3 linked regions of the Caenorhabditis elegans genome follow. The protein of the gene in region 1 interacts with the protein of each later gene in a pairwise test. Each region holds a gene or a part of one and is shown in the gene's direction. Other genes may lie near its edges. The genes, in order: ncl-1, nrde-3 and C03D6.1.

Region 1 (3,755 bases):
TATTACTTTAAAAAATTAATAATGTTTGATAGTCAATAAATTATTATATAAATATCGATAATACGATAATTGCCGAATTTCTTCTTTTTTTTCAAAACGCCCTCTAACCTTCACATAAATTTTCTACAGTAATCTTTTGCACATGAATTTTCAAGAAGTGAAAATTTATATGAATTGTGGATTGCCAAATTAAAATTTGATACGATTACATTTTTATAAACTTTCACAATTGGTTTGTTTTAAAAAAATAAGTTTTTCTTGATTCTCTAACTCCTCTATTAGATCAATGATCTCTTAAAAGTGACCGCCCGTTTTCCACCCCAATTCCTCATTCCCACTCTTCTCCCGCACACGCATACATACCGCCCATCTCTATCTATCACATTCTCTCATTTTGACACACTGTTTCGTATGTTGTTTGTTCCAAAAAGTGTGTGACGGGTGGAAAACTGATGTGGAAATAGTGTCTTTTGCCCCTCTATCTTTTTGAAATGATAATAACTTTTTTCGAGAGTTTTTTGTTTTACTTTTTATTTTTTGAATTTTGATCGATTTGTATAAGTTGTATCTAATCTTGATCTAGATTTAACAACATTCATATTTCCCGCCAAATGAATTTTTAGGCCTAAAATTGTTTCCTTGGCAGCAGAATGTGTAGGCCAAAAAGTTATATAGAAAGATAGAGTTGACTCTAAAAAATTTTTAAAAATTAAAATTGTTGGAAATTATTATAATTCGTTAAACTTCAAACGGCTTCTAAAATTGTCACAATTGTGTGTGGGAAATTTAATGTGTTAGGGAAAACATTTTCCGCGCAAATTTGTCAAGATTAATTTTAGCATTTATTTGAATGATTTGCAGAATTTAAAGTTCGAGCTTCTCCGCTTTGCACTACTGGGCAATTCACTGAGCATAAAACCGCGCTTGCACGGTTGCTCTCCCCTTCCCGCCTCCACGCCTTTAAGAAGGTAGAAAAAAAATATAATCAAAAAAAAATATACAGCAACGGTTCAATATAATTGTAACACCGAACAGCGAGGCGGGCGATAGGAAGGCGAGGAAAAAGGCGCCATGTCGCCTCACCCTGATGGATTGCCAAATGGTAGTCAATGATGTTTGCATAATTTTCTTGATTCGTGGTATTTACCGAACTTGTACATCATACTTCACGCGAATTTTTGAAAATTGGTATCAAGATGGACCCTTCGTAGTTTGTCCCACATTCGTGTAAAACTTTTCTAGAACAAGACAATTTAAATTTCGTCCAAAAACCGAAACTCTGAAACAAATCTACCCAAAAATACGAAGTAAAACCAGTAGGAAATCATCAAAGTTCTGCACTGTTTGCACACAGTTTTCAATTTTTCCTCAATTTCCCTCTGCGTCTCTGACCATCTCTTAACTCTTCTTCTTTTCCCACTGTCACTTGACTTTTGTGATGTGACACACATATTTCCTATACGCTTCCCTCTTTCACCCACAAAAAGTTTGAATTCTGTAAATGATTTTTAGATCTCTTCCGGAACACTTTCAAACCGTCGATTTCAAATAACTGTTTCATACTAAAAGTTGAGGGAAATCTTGATTTAATTTCAGAAGCCTGCTCTACACCTGCTCTTCAGAGGAGATTCCACAGAAAGCCTCATCCAGAAGACAATGATTCCGTATCTAGAAATTTGCAGGTCAGTTGTTTTATTCAAAAATTAAACAATTTTAAACAAAAGGTTCTGACTATTTTCTAGTCTGCGTTTTATTCTAAAGTGTAATGTTTCCTACTTTTCCTAAGTCTCTCATTGTTGAACCTTCTTAATGATTTACTAGCTTCAAAAGAACGAAGCTCAAGGAACTGTTATACACAGTTTCAGAATTAAAAATAATCTAAAAATCGACACGAATTAAATGAGATCCTTCACAAGGAGAATAAACTGTGGGACGTCCGTCACATGTTCTGTTAAAAGTGAATTTTACTGAATTGGATAGATATCGAATCTATAAAAATCAATGTGTTAAACTTTTGCAAGTTTCAGTTTAAAATCAAAAATAAAAAGCTTCTCAAATAACGCTCTGTGGCAATAATAATTTTGAATATTCAAACAATTTCAAGGATAATAGGAACTTATTAAATATAGTTTCCCAGTCTCCTAGTCAAAATACGATTCACCCAATTTCCCTGACCACTTTCATAAAATTAGCCGAAATTGTTGTAGTGTAGGCAGTGATTTTTTCTGCTGCCTCAAAACGTTCAAGGAGTACTGTAGGTTTTTCATTTTCCGTACCGCCTGCTCTGTCAAAAATCCACATTAAGTGTTGATAAAATCGTTTTTATCAACGCGTTTTTTGCTGATTCCAACAAAATATTATGATAGCAAGAATGCTTACTTTTTTTTTCATTTTTCAGTTTAGTTCCTTTTCTTCGGCGAAAATGTAAATTTTGGTAGCTTCTCAAACAATGTTTCTGATAATTTGTACGTAGGGTTCCTACTCGGCAAAACGGCCTAACTTCATAGCATACTCTTGCAACTTCTTAAGAACAATTAGGCATTTTAGCTTTTAAGCAAACTTCTGCAGCTTTTCAGATGACTTTTGCAATTTCTTAGCAGATGTAAAGCTAAATTTCGCTCACAATCCCGTTGGTTTTCGCAACTTCTTGACAGCTTTTTACAAAGTTATATGAATGTTTTTATTAAGTTGCAGGAGTTTGCTATGAAGTTGCGACGTTTTGCCGAGTATAGAGATCATTAGAAGAAATGTGTATTGTATCCATTAATATATATATTTTTAGTTAATCCTCTCTAGTTTCACGAGAAAATCTGCTCAAAAAAAGGTCAAAAAACGGCGGTGATGCAGCCACATGACTTCTCTTCAGTTTTCTCTAGTTTCTCTTTTCGCATGGCTCAACAGAAGCCCATTGGGTCATTTTTTGCGCCTCTCTTTCTCTCCTCCAATCGCCACGCGTCTTTTGTGTCGTTTTCATGTGACTCTGGACGGAGGAGAGCACCGATCCATTTTTTTGATTGGAATAGGGGTGAAGATCTTGTGGTTGGGAGAATCTAGTTTGGTCGCAATGTTTTTTTTTTCAAAAAACTTTTGTGAAGCGTTCTAGAAAGCTTACTTCTGATGTGATGTTTCTATATTTAAAATCATAAAACATAGGTAGCCTGTAATATTTTCATAAATTTATTTTTGATGCAAAATGTCTTTTAACAATTTGAACTTTAAAAAACCCGTTTAAGCGATATATGAAAGCTCTCGCGCCTCCGTGGAACGCCTTGTTTCTAATTACAATTTAAAGCCTCTTTTAAAATAATTGAAAATCACAGCTTCTCCATTTTCCTCCTCAGTTCAATCCAGTTCGCTTCACCACTCCAAAAGTCCAAACTAAATTTGAAAATAGCTTTTGAAACCCAGAGACTCTAGAGAATCCGTCATTTTTTGTCCCATTTTTTTCGCACTTTCTGCCTAGAAGGTGGGTTTCGACCATTCATCATATTGCATAAAACAACTCTCTCTCTCTCTCTTGTTTGTTTGCCATTCCGATGCAAACCGCCCGTTCCTCTCGATGTGACGAACTGAATGAGAGAACGGCATAGTTAGTGTATGTGGCAAACGAAAACGACAATTCTTTTCCCCTTTCTCCAGCATTTTTTTCGCCCAATTCTCCCTCTTCCCTTTTGCCCCGATTGGTCTGATTTTTGATCGGCTCTCTGTTCGTGGTTCTGCGAGTGCATCTAGATGTAAGTTAGATGTAGATGAAA
Region 2 (3,755 bases), on another chromosome or scaffold:
AATTGAACCACTTTTTCAAAAATCTAAAGAACCGCCGCTGAAATAAAATATTTATTTTTAGTCCGAGTGAGTACATAATGTATTGTTTCTATGTAGTAGAACTGAAATCTTTTCATTTTTTCCTGAAAAATGTGTCCTCAAAAAAACTTTTAAAATGTTAAAATATCAAAATTCTATTTTATATTTTTCCCTTATATTTATATTTTAAAAAAAGTAAAACTTTGCCGTATTTCAAAAATTCTATTAAATTTTACACTTTCAATTTCTTCCAATAGATTGATTGACCGGAAAACTGAAATTCTTAAACTCTACGCAACCTGCGTCCGCTGTAGATCAGAGTAACAATCGAGCAATAAAATAAAAACTTTTTCTGTTTGCGCTGGCTTTTTGTAATCTTTTTGCACTTACTTCTAACATAATTGCAATCATTTTTACAATTTTATTGACGGACTCGCTAAGATACTGAAATGAAATTGTAGATTTTTCAATAATTATGCATTTGGATCAGGGGTGGGCAGCAATTTCTGTTTGGCAATTTTTTTATCCACATGTTTATTTTTTAGTTTTTATCCACAAACCGGCAATTTGCCGGTTTGCCGATTTACAGGGAATTTTCATTTTTGGCAAATTGCCAATTTGCCGTCGATCAAGTTTGCCGGAATTGTTTAGAGTAATTTTTTCAGAAGACGGAACTACTTTAAACTTAGCCTTGTTGAAATTTTATTCCCGTTTTCTCTTGATATTTTTTATAGGATTTGCTTATTTTTCAGAATAGATTTAGGAACATTCACAGGATACAATTTTGCCGATTGAAATTAAAATATTGAAATTTCAAAAAAAAAAAGTGCAAAACCACAAAAACAATTTACCGAAACTGTTCGGCAAATTTGGCAAATCGCCCATTTGCCGGTTTATCGATTTTCCGGAAATTTTCAATTCCGGCTATGTGCCAAATCGCCGGAAGTTTCAATTCCGGCAATTTTCCGATTTGTCGGAAAAAACAACGATTGCATTGAGAAACCACTCCCGCAAAAAATAATAAAAAATCTTGAGTACTAAGTTTGTTGCAGATTGTGGAGTGTGCAGGAGTTGCTCCAAACTAGACAAAACTCCCGAAAGGCTAAGATTGTAGCAAAAATCCCTAATTTCTATGAAAGAATATGTAGGAGTTTCTCTTTACGCAAGAGTTTCACTTCATTTAGGACTTTTTATTTTTGCCCGAGCATGAGATCATGAGAATTCCTACCGTTCCTCGTAGTGAAGGGACCTGCGTTTCTATTCGAAACATGCTCCACGGCACTTCGATATTTCGCGCCAAACCGGTAAGCATTATGACGATCTCATGGTTTCTTATTATTCATGTCTTCGTTAACGATCAGCGATGAAGGAGGAGTCTCCCCGATAACCGATCGATACGTTTATTCCGCGTTGCACCACACACACTCGTCTGTTACACAGTTCTTCATCTGGTGCGCGCTCTTTTTGATCGATCATACCTGCGTACGCATTCACCCTACACCCTCTTCCAATACCATTGCACACTAACCTCTTCTGTGCGCGCGCTCTGTTATCTTGCGCAAGAGACACATCTCACCCTCTCTCTTTCAAATGCCTTTGAATTTAGTTGGTGTTGCCTTTCATTCCTTTGCTGTGCGACTGTGCTGACGCTGTTTTTCTATTGATCTCTATTCTAAAATATAATTAACTAAATTATAAATACACAAACTATTCTTCTATTTTTTCTCGCTCTCTTTTTTCAGTTTCTTACATAAAATTTTCAAGTTCATAAAATTTCTTTCAGGTAATTTGCACAACTAATCATGGATCTCCTAGACAAAGTAATGGGTGAGATGGGCTCTAAGCCAGGCTCAACTGCCAAAAAACCAGCCACATCTGCGTCATCCACACCACGTACAAATGTTTGGGGCACTGCAAAAAAGCCATCCAGCCAACAGCAGCCACCGAAGCCACTTTTCACTACTCCGGGCTCACAGCAAGGATCTCTTGGAGGTCGGATTCCAAAAAGAGAGCATACCGATCGCACAGGTCCCGATCCAAAACGAAAGCCACTGGGAGGATGTGGGTTTTTTAGCAAGCGAAATTTGCACATATAATTGATTTTTAGTGTCGGTGCCGGATTCATTCAATAATTTTGGTACGTTTCGGGTACAAATGAATGCTTGGAATTTAGATATTTCTAAAATGGACGAGAGAATTAGCAGAATAATGTTTCGTGCCACATTGGTTCACACGGATGGACGTCGCTTTGAACTTTCTCTTGGCGTTTCGGCATTCTCCGGAGAGTAAGTGTATTTCTTTTTCATATTATATACAATTAAATGAATATTTTAGCGTCAACCGTCAACAAAGACGTCAAGCTCAATGCCTGCTCTTCCGGGCATGGTTCAAACGAAATCCTGAGCTGTTCAAAGGTATGACTGATCCGGCAATCGCTGCATACGACGCTGCGGAAACTATCTATGTGGGATGTAGCTTCTTTGACGTCGAGTTGACCGAGCACGTATGCCATCTGACAGAAGCTGACTTTTCGCCACAAGAATGGAAAATCGTTTCTCTCATCTCACGTCGGAGTGGGTCGACATTTGAAATTCGCATCAAGACAAATCCACCAGTGAGTTTCTTGAGCCGTCTATATCTTATCGACGCTGAAAATTTGAAACAGGAATTTTGACTTCAAAAGTTCACAAAAAGTTACCAATGAAGACGACTGTAAAAACATAAGTCCTGAAAGCACGGTATGACAACGTTTTCAGATTCTTAACTCATCTTTTAGCGTCTTTTCCTTTTGTATTTTGGCTGTCCCCGAGAACTTAAAGTGAAATGTTTGGGCGCTCTGATTTGAGCAAATTTCATGTTGCAGTTTTTATTTTTATTTAAACGGCTTCTTTTCAAACTACTACACAAACCTATATAAAAAACATGTCATTCTCCTTTTTATTTTTTCAAAAAAAAATTACAGATCTACACGCGTGGACCAAACGCTTTGACATTGGAGAACCGTTCTGAGCTAACACGTATCATTGAAGCTATAACAGACCAATGTCTTCACAATGAGAAGTTTTTGCTCTATTCGTCGGGAACTTTCCCCACGAAGGGGGGCGATATTGCCAGTCCCGACGAGGTTACTCTGATTAAGTCAGGATTCGTGAAGACTACAAAAATTGTGGATCGGGACGGTGTACCAGATGCAATTATGACCGTTGACACAACAAAATCGCCATTCTACAAAGATACGTCTCTCCTCAAATTTTTCACTGCCAAAATGGATCAACTTACAAATAGTGGTGGAGGACCCAGAGGCCACAATGGTGGCAGAGAGCGTCGCGATGGCGGCGGGAACAGTAGAAAATACGATGATAGACGCTCACCGCGTGATGGTGAAATTGATTATGACGAGAGAACTGTCTCACATTATCAAAGACAGTTTCAAGACGAACGCATTTCGGATGGTATGCTGAACACTCTCAAGCAGTCTCTCAAAGGATTGGATTGTCAGCCGATTCATCTTAAAGACTCGAAAGCCAATCGTTCAATCATGATAGACGAAATTCACACCGGAACAGCAGATAGGTCAGTTTCTCCAAAAACACTTTTATGCGTATATAATACTAACAAATTTCAGTGTCACATTTGAACAAAAACTTCCCGACGGAGAGATGAAGCTCACTTCCATCACAGAGTATTATTTACAACGGTACAACTATCGTCTCAAATTCCCACATCTTCCGTTGGTG
Region 3 (3,755 bases), on another chromosome or scaffold:
TGTTAGGCTACAGACTAAAATGTTAGGCTATCCGTAAAGTTTCTTTGTCTACATTTTCTGATAGGGTTACATATACAGTACCTACCAAAATTAGAAAGCGTTCCTGGATTTTTTTTGGTCATTTTCAAAATTTTCAAATAATTTTAACTCGAAAAATAATTAATGTATTACAGAAGATTCGCTGACAAACTTCTTTTGCAAAACTAACTAGTTTTTGAGTTATGCTCAATTAGAAAACCTATAAAGATTATTTCTTGGCCGATACTTCATGTCCAAAAATAGGTGACATTTAGGGATCATACATAATTTTTTCAACTCAACGTTCATTGCTCACGATATTGAAGAGCCTACCGAGTATGAAAAACCATTCAAACAATCTACCGTACTCATTTTCTAAGACTTTTGCAAAATTTGGTTGACATGCGGTTTCTCTCTCAGGTCAAAGAGCAGACTATCAAAAAGAAAACAATGAAACCGTCCCCCAATTCGACCTGACACAATGATTCCCAAAAACTGATAAAGAATTGTTCTTCCCCTTTCCTTCCACGGAATTCCTCTGACTTTTCACCCCTGTCCCTTCATCATTTTCATTTTCTATTTCGCTATCCATATCACATCATATCATATCAAAACGACACCACGTGACTTTTCCCCCTATTACATTTATAGTTTGTCGCAATACGTTGTTTTATCACTGAATTGATATACATATTTAAATTAATGAGAGAATTTGTTAAATGACTGCCAAACAGTTTTTTCTCGTAGACTTCTTTTCTCGATCAGCAGCCCCCGAAAAGATAGAATCTTTAATGATTGTCCACGCATTTAGACTCCCTTCTTTGATTTTTCTTATCACTTTAGAGTGTCTACATGAAAAATCTCACCCTTTTCGCGGTACAGTATCATTGAAGAAACGTGGAATTAAATACACGAACTTCTATAAGTTTTAAGGAAGGCGGATTTATTCGAATGAGGTCTCGTCGGGAATTTTACGAAAACGATCTGTGTATGCGTCTTTATGTTTACTGTATACCTATAGAAACTTCCGGCTTCTTTTTCTGTGTTTTATAGTTTTTCAAAAACGATAATTACTGGAAACTTCACTTACAATGTTGGGTGTTTTCCGAATTCAACTCGTGACCAAAAATTACAATAAACCAATAAAAAATAAAACTTAATTCATCTACAGTAAACCTAAAAAAGCGCGGCGAGAGTTTGCAAATAAAAACATTCTGTGAATAATCATGTCCAGAGAGAGAAAAAGATGAAATGGGAAACTGAAAGCAGATTTTGATTTAAAAAATTACATTGTAATTTTCTGAAACAAGGTTTCTTAAAGACACACCGATTTTGATATTATTTTCCTTTCTATTAAGATTTTTTTCAAAACAAATTTCTAGCTGTTTTAACGATTTTTCTCGATTTTTGTTAAGAATTTCAATGTGCTTGAGAACAAAAAAATGCAATAGGGAAGTCGAATAAAAGGAAACCTACAGTAAACATTTTTCTCGCGACGAGACCTATCTGAATAAATCCATGCGCCTTCAGGCGGATGTTTCAAAAAACCATCAGAACTATGATAATAGGACTTTCCGCCAAAATATCGGAAGAACAATCTTCAAGATGCAAAAATATTACTACCATATCATATCAGCTTCTTCCATACACAAATAGTGATATAAACAGCCCCCACGCGGTCGTCCTCATCCATCCGTCGACGTCAAAACTTCCTCTACAACGAATAAAAAGAAGAAGAATGTTCTGATCAGTGTGTATGTGTATATATGTCTATGTCATTGAAACCTCTAGGCTATTCAATTTTTATCTCTCCTTCTGTTTCTCCGTGTACCTTGTCTTATAAACTTTCTTTGTTGGGTGATTTCTGAAATTCCAAAATTTTCAGTCCGAATAATGATGGCATTAAGAAGAAGGCGACATGTGGCTCCAGATATAAGAAATAATGCTCACCAGTATATGTGAGATTTTAGCTCATAAATACCTATTTCTTAATTTAATTTCAGGAGAAGCTTGCGGGGGCCAGAGACAAATACGCTTTTTATAGGATATGCTATAAATCATGGAACTGTGGATCCAAGTACACCTGGGGTCTACAATAATCCCAGTACAGTTGTGGTAATTACATTTTTGTGCTCAACTCTTTGCTATTCGATGTAATTCCAGTTCACATTCAACGGAACCTCGTGTCCTGATCATTTTACCGAGTACTTTCATTTCCAAAAGGCCACCATTCCGCATGTTGATCCTGCGCTGATTCGACGAGTCACTCGGTGGATAATTGAAGACTTCAGATCCCATCGTGAAGTGCTCCCTGATTTTATTATTGTGCTCCGAGATCAAGTTCGCGATGATCTACAATCAACGGTACGTTTCCTATTAAAATAACTTTGAACGTTGCATCTTTCAATTTGAACACAACTGCGGCCTTGACCAATAATCTTACCACCACCTAGTATTTCGTTGAAACGCTTTTTCCTGTCCAGTAGTGAATATAACAAGAAATTCCAAAAAATCGTAAATCCAAGTGTATTCACAAAAGCGGGAGTAGAACAACAAGTAACAAATAACAAAAAGTTTAAAAAAAGAAAGAAAATTGGGTACTCAATTGGTCTCCATCGATTCTGCGGTTTTCTTTTCTTTTGCTGCCGCCCTTGTCTTGACACCATCTCTGTTTGCAACTGGAGCACGGATGAGATGCATTTTCTTGTCGACCTTCGCAAGGAGTCCCTTCTTCTGTACAATCTTTCCTGGTTGCAGACGTTTTCTGATCAGGTTACCATATCTGAAAAATAATAGTTGCTTTTTGATATAAATTTATTTTTATTTACCTTTTTGTTTTCAATGCGGAAATCGTTTTGGCAGCTTCAATGGTCTTTTGGAACATGGCTCTTTCATACTTGACAGGCTCATCTCTGCGCTGTTCGAGAAGCTGTGTGGCGTCGTTGATAAGCTCCTTTCCGCGAGCACGACGCGCAGCCTTGGTGAAACGAAGCTTTCTTGGGTTCTTCTTCTTCTTGAACAATTTGTTACATCTGGATCGGCAGAATTTGAACACCTAAACAGATTGATTGAACAGTTCGTAAACTAATTTTATTTTAAATAGTTCTTACTGTGCTATCGTTTCTGACAAACTGGATTCCGTGTCCCGGGTAGATGGGAGACGAGCAAAAGTAGCATTTTTCAATGCGCATTGTTACCTAAAATTGATAAAATAATTTATTAACGCAAAATACGGTGAAATTGGACAGTGAGAACATTGAAAAGTAACAAAATTAGTTTAGAATCAAGAATTGCGAAAAAATAAAAAAGCGATCGCCTTATGCGCAAAGGGAGAGAAAGGCGCCAGCGAGTGTTGCTTGCGCACTTTGCGTCGGTGATAAAAGCGCGGTGATTCAAATTGGAAATCATGTACCAAAGAAGAAATCGTAAGTTTTCAGGTAGAACATCAAGAGTTCACAGCTTTCAAAGAAGAAATATCAACATATATAGAGACTGCATCAAATCTTCCAGAATGGAATCCTCGATTTGCATTTGGATTGGCTCCATGGCGACCAGAAAATACGGAACCACTCGTTTATTTGTTTCAAGATGACGGAATTTTCCAATCAAACGAAGAATTTCAAAACTTAATTGTTAACATGTTTATAACAATTAGAGTTCGTAATCATCGATTTTCTCTTCTTGAACCTCTTTGGAATGCTGAAAACAAAGCTGGACTGTGGACTAAATTTTTTCCC

The links.
Region 2: the proteins of ncl-1 (region 1) and nrde-3 interact in a two-hybrid assay, tested with the Caenorhabditis elegans proteins (one large-scale study listed by BioGRID).
Region 3: the proteins of ncl-1 (region 1) and C03D6.1 interact in a two-hybrid assay, tested with the Caenorhabditis elegans proteins (one large-scale study listed by BioGRID).

Annotation. Positions count from the first base shown.
Region 1 is NC_003281.10:7,718,135-7,721,889, forward strand, and holds the start of ncl-1 (RING-type E3 ubiquitin transferase), read left to right. Parts: upstream 1-1,656; coding exon 1,657-1,682; intron 1,683-3,755. UniProt on the Caenorhabditis elegans protein: Translational repressor that inhibits protein synthesis.
Region 2 is NC_003284.9:370,434-374,188, forward strand, and holds the start of nrde-3 (Nuclear RNAi defective-3 protein), read left to right. Parts: upstream 1-1,801; 5' UTR 1,802-1,820; coding exon 1,821-2,079; intron 2,080-2,125; coding exon 2,126-2,303; intron 2,304-2,352; coding exon 2,353-2,632; intron 2,633-2,980; coding exon 2,981-3,591; intron 3,592-3,643; coding exon 3,644-3,755. UniProt on the Caenorhabditis elegans protein: Transports small interfering RNAs (siRNAs) from the cytoplasm to the nucleus. Required for RNA interference (RNAi) in nuclei. Required for exogenous RNAi-induced H3K27 methylation.
Region 3 is NC_003279.8:9,668,875-9,672,629, reverse strand, and holds the start of C03D6.1 (Piwi domain-containing protein), read left to right. Parts: upstream 1-1,903; 5' UTR 1,904-1,914; coding exon 1,915-1,976; intron 1,977-2,021; coding exon 2,022-2,133; intron 2,134-2,181; coding exon 2,182-2,382; intron 2,383-2,531; exon of another isoform or gene 2,532-2,619; coding exon of another isoform or gene 2,620-2,800; intron 2,801-2,846; coding exon of another isoform or gene 2,847-3,073; intron 3,074-3,128; coding exon of another isoform or gene 3,129-3,209; exon of another isoform or gene 3,210-3,215; intron 3,216-3,455; coding exon 3,456-3,755. Other genes in the region: rsl-24D1 (putative ribosome biogenesis protein RLP24), read right to left, coding at 2,620-2,800, 2,847-3,073, 3,129-3,209.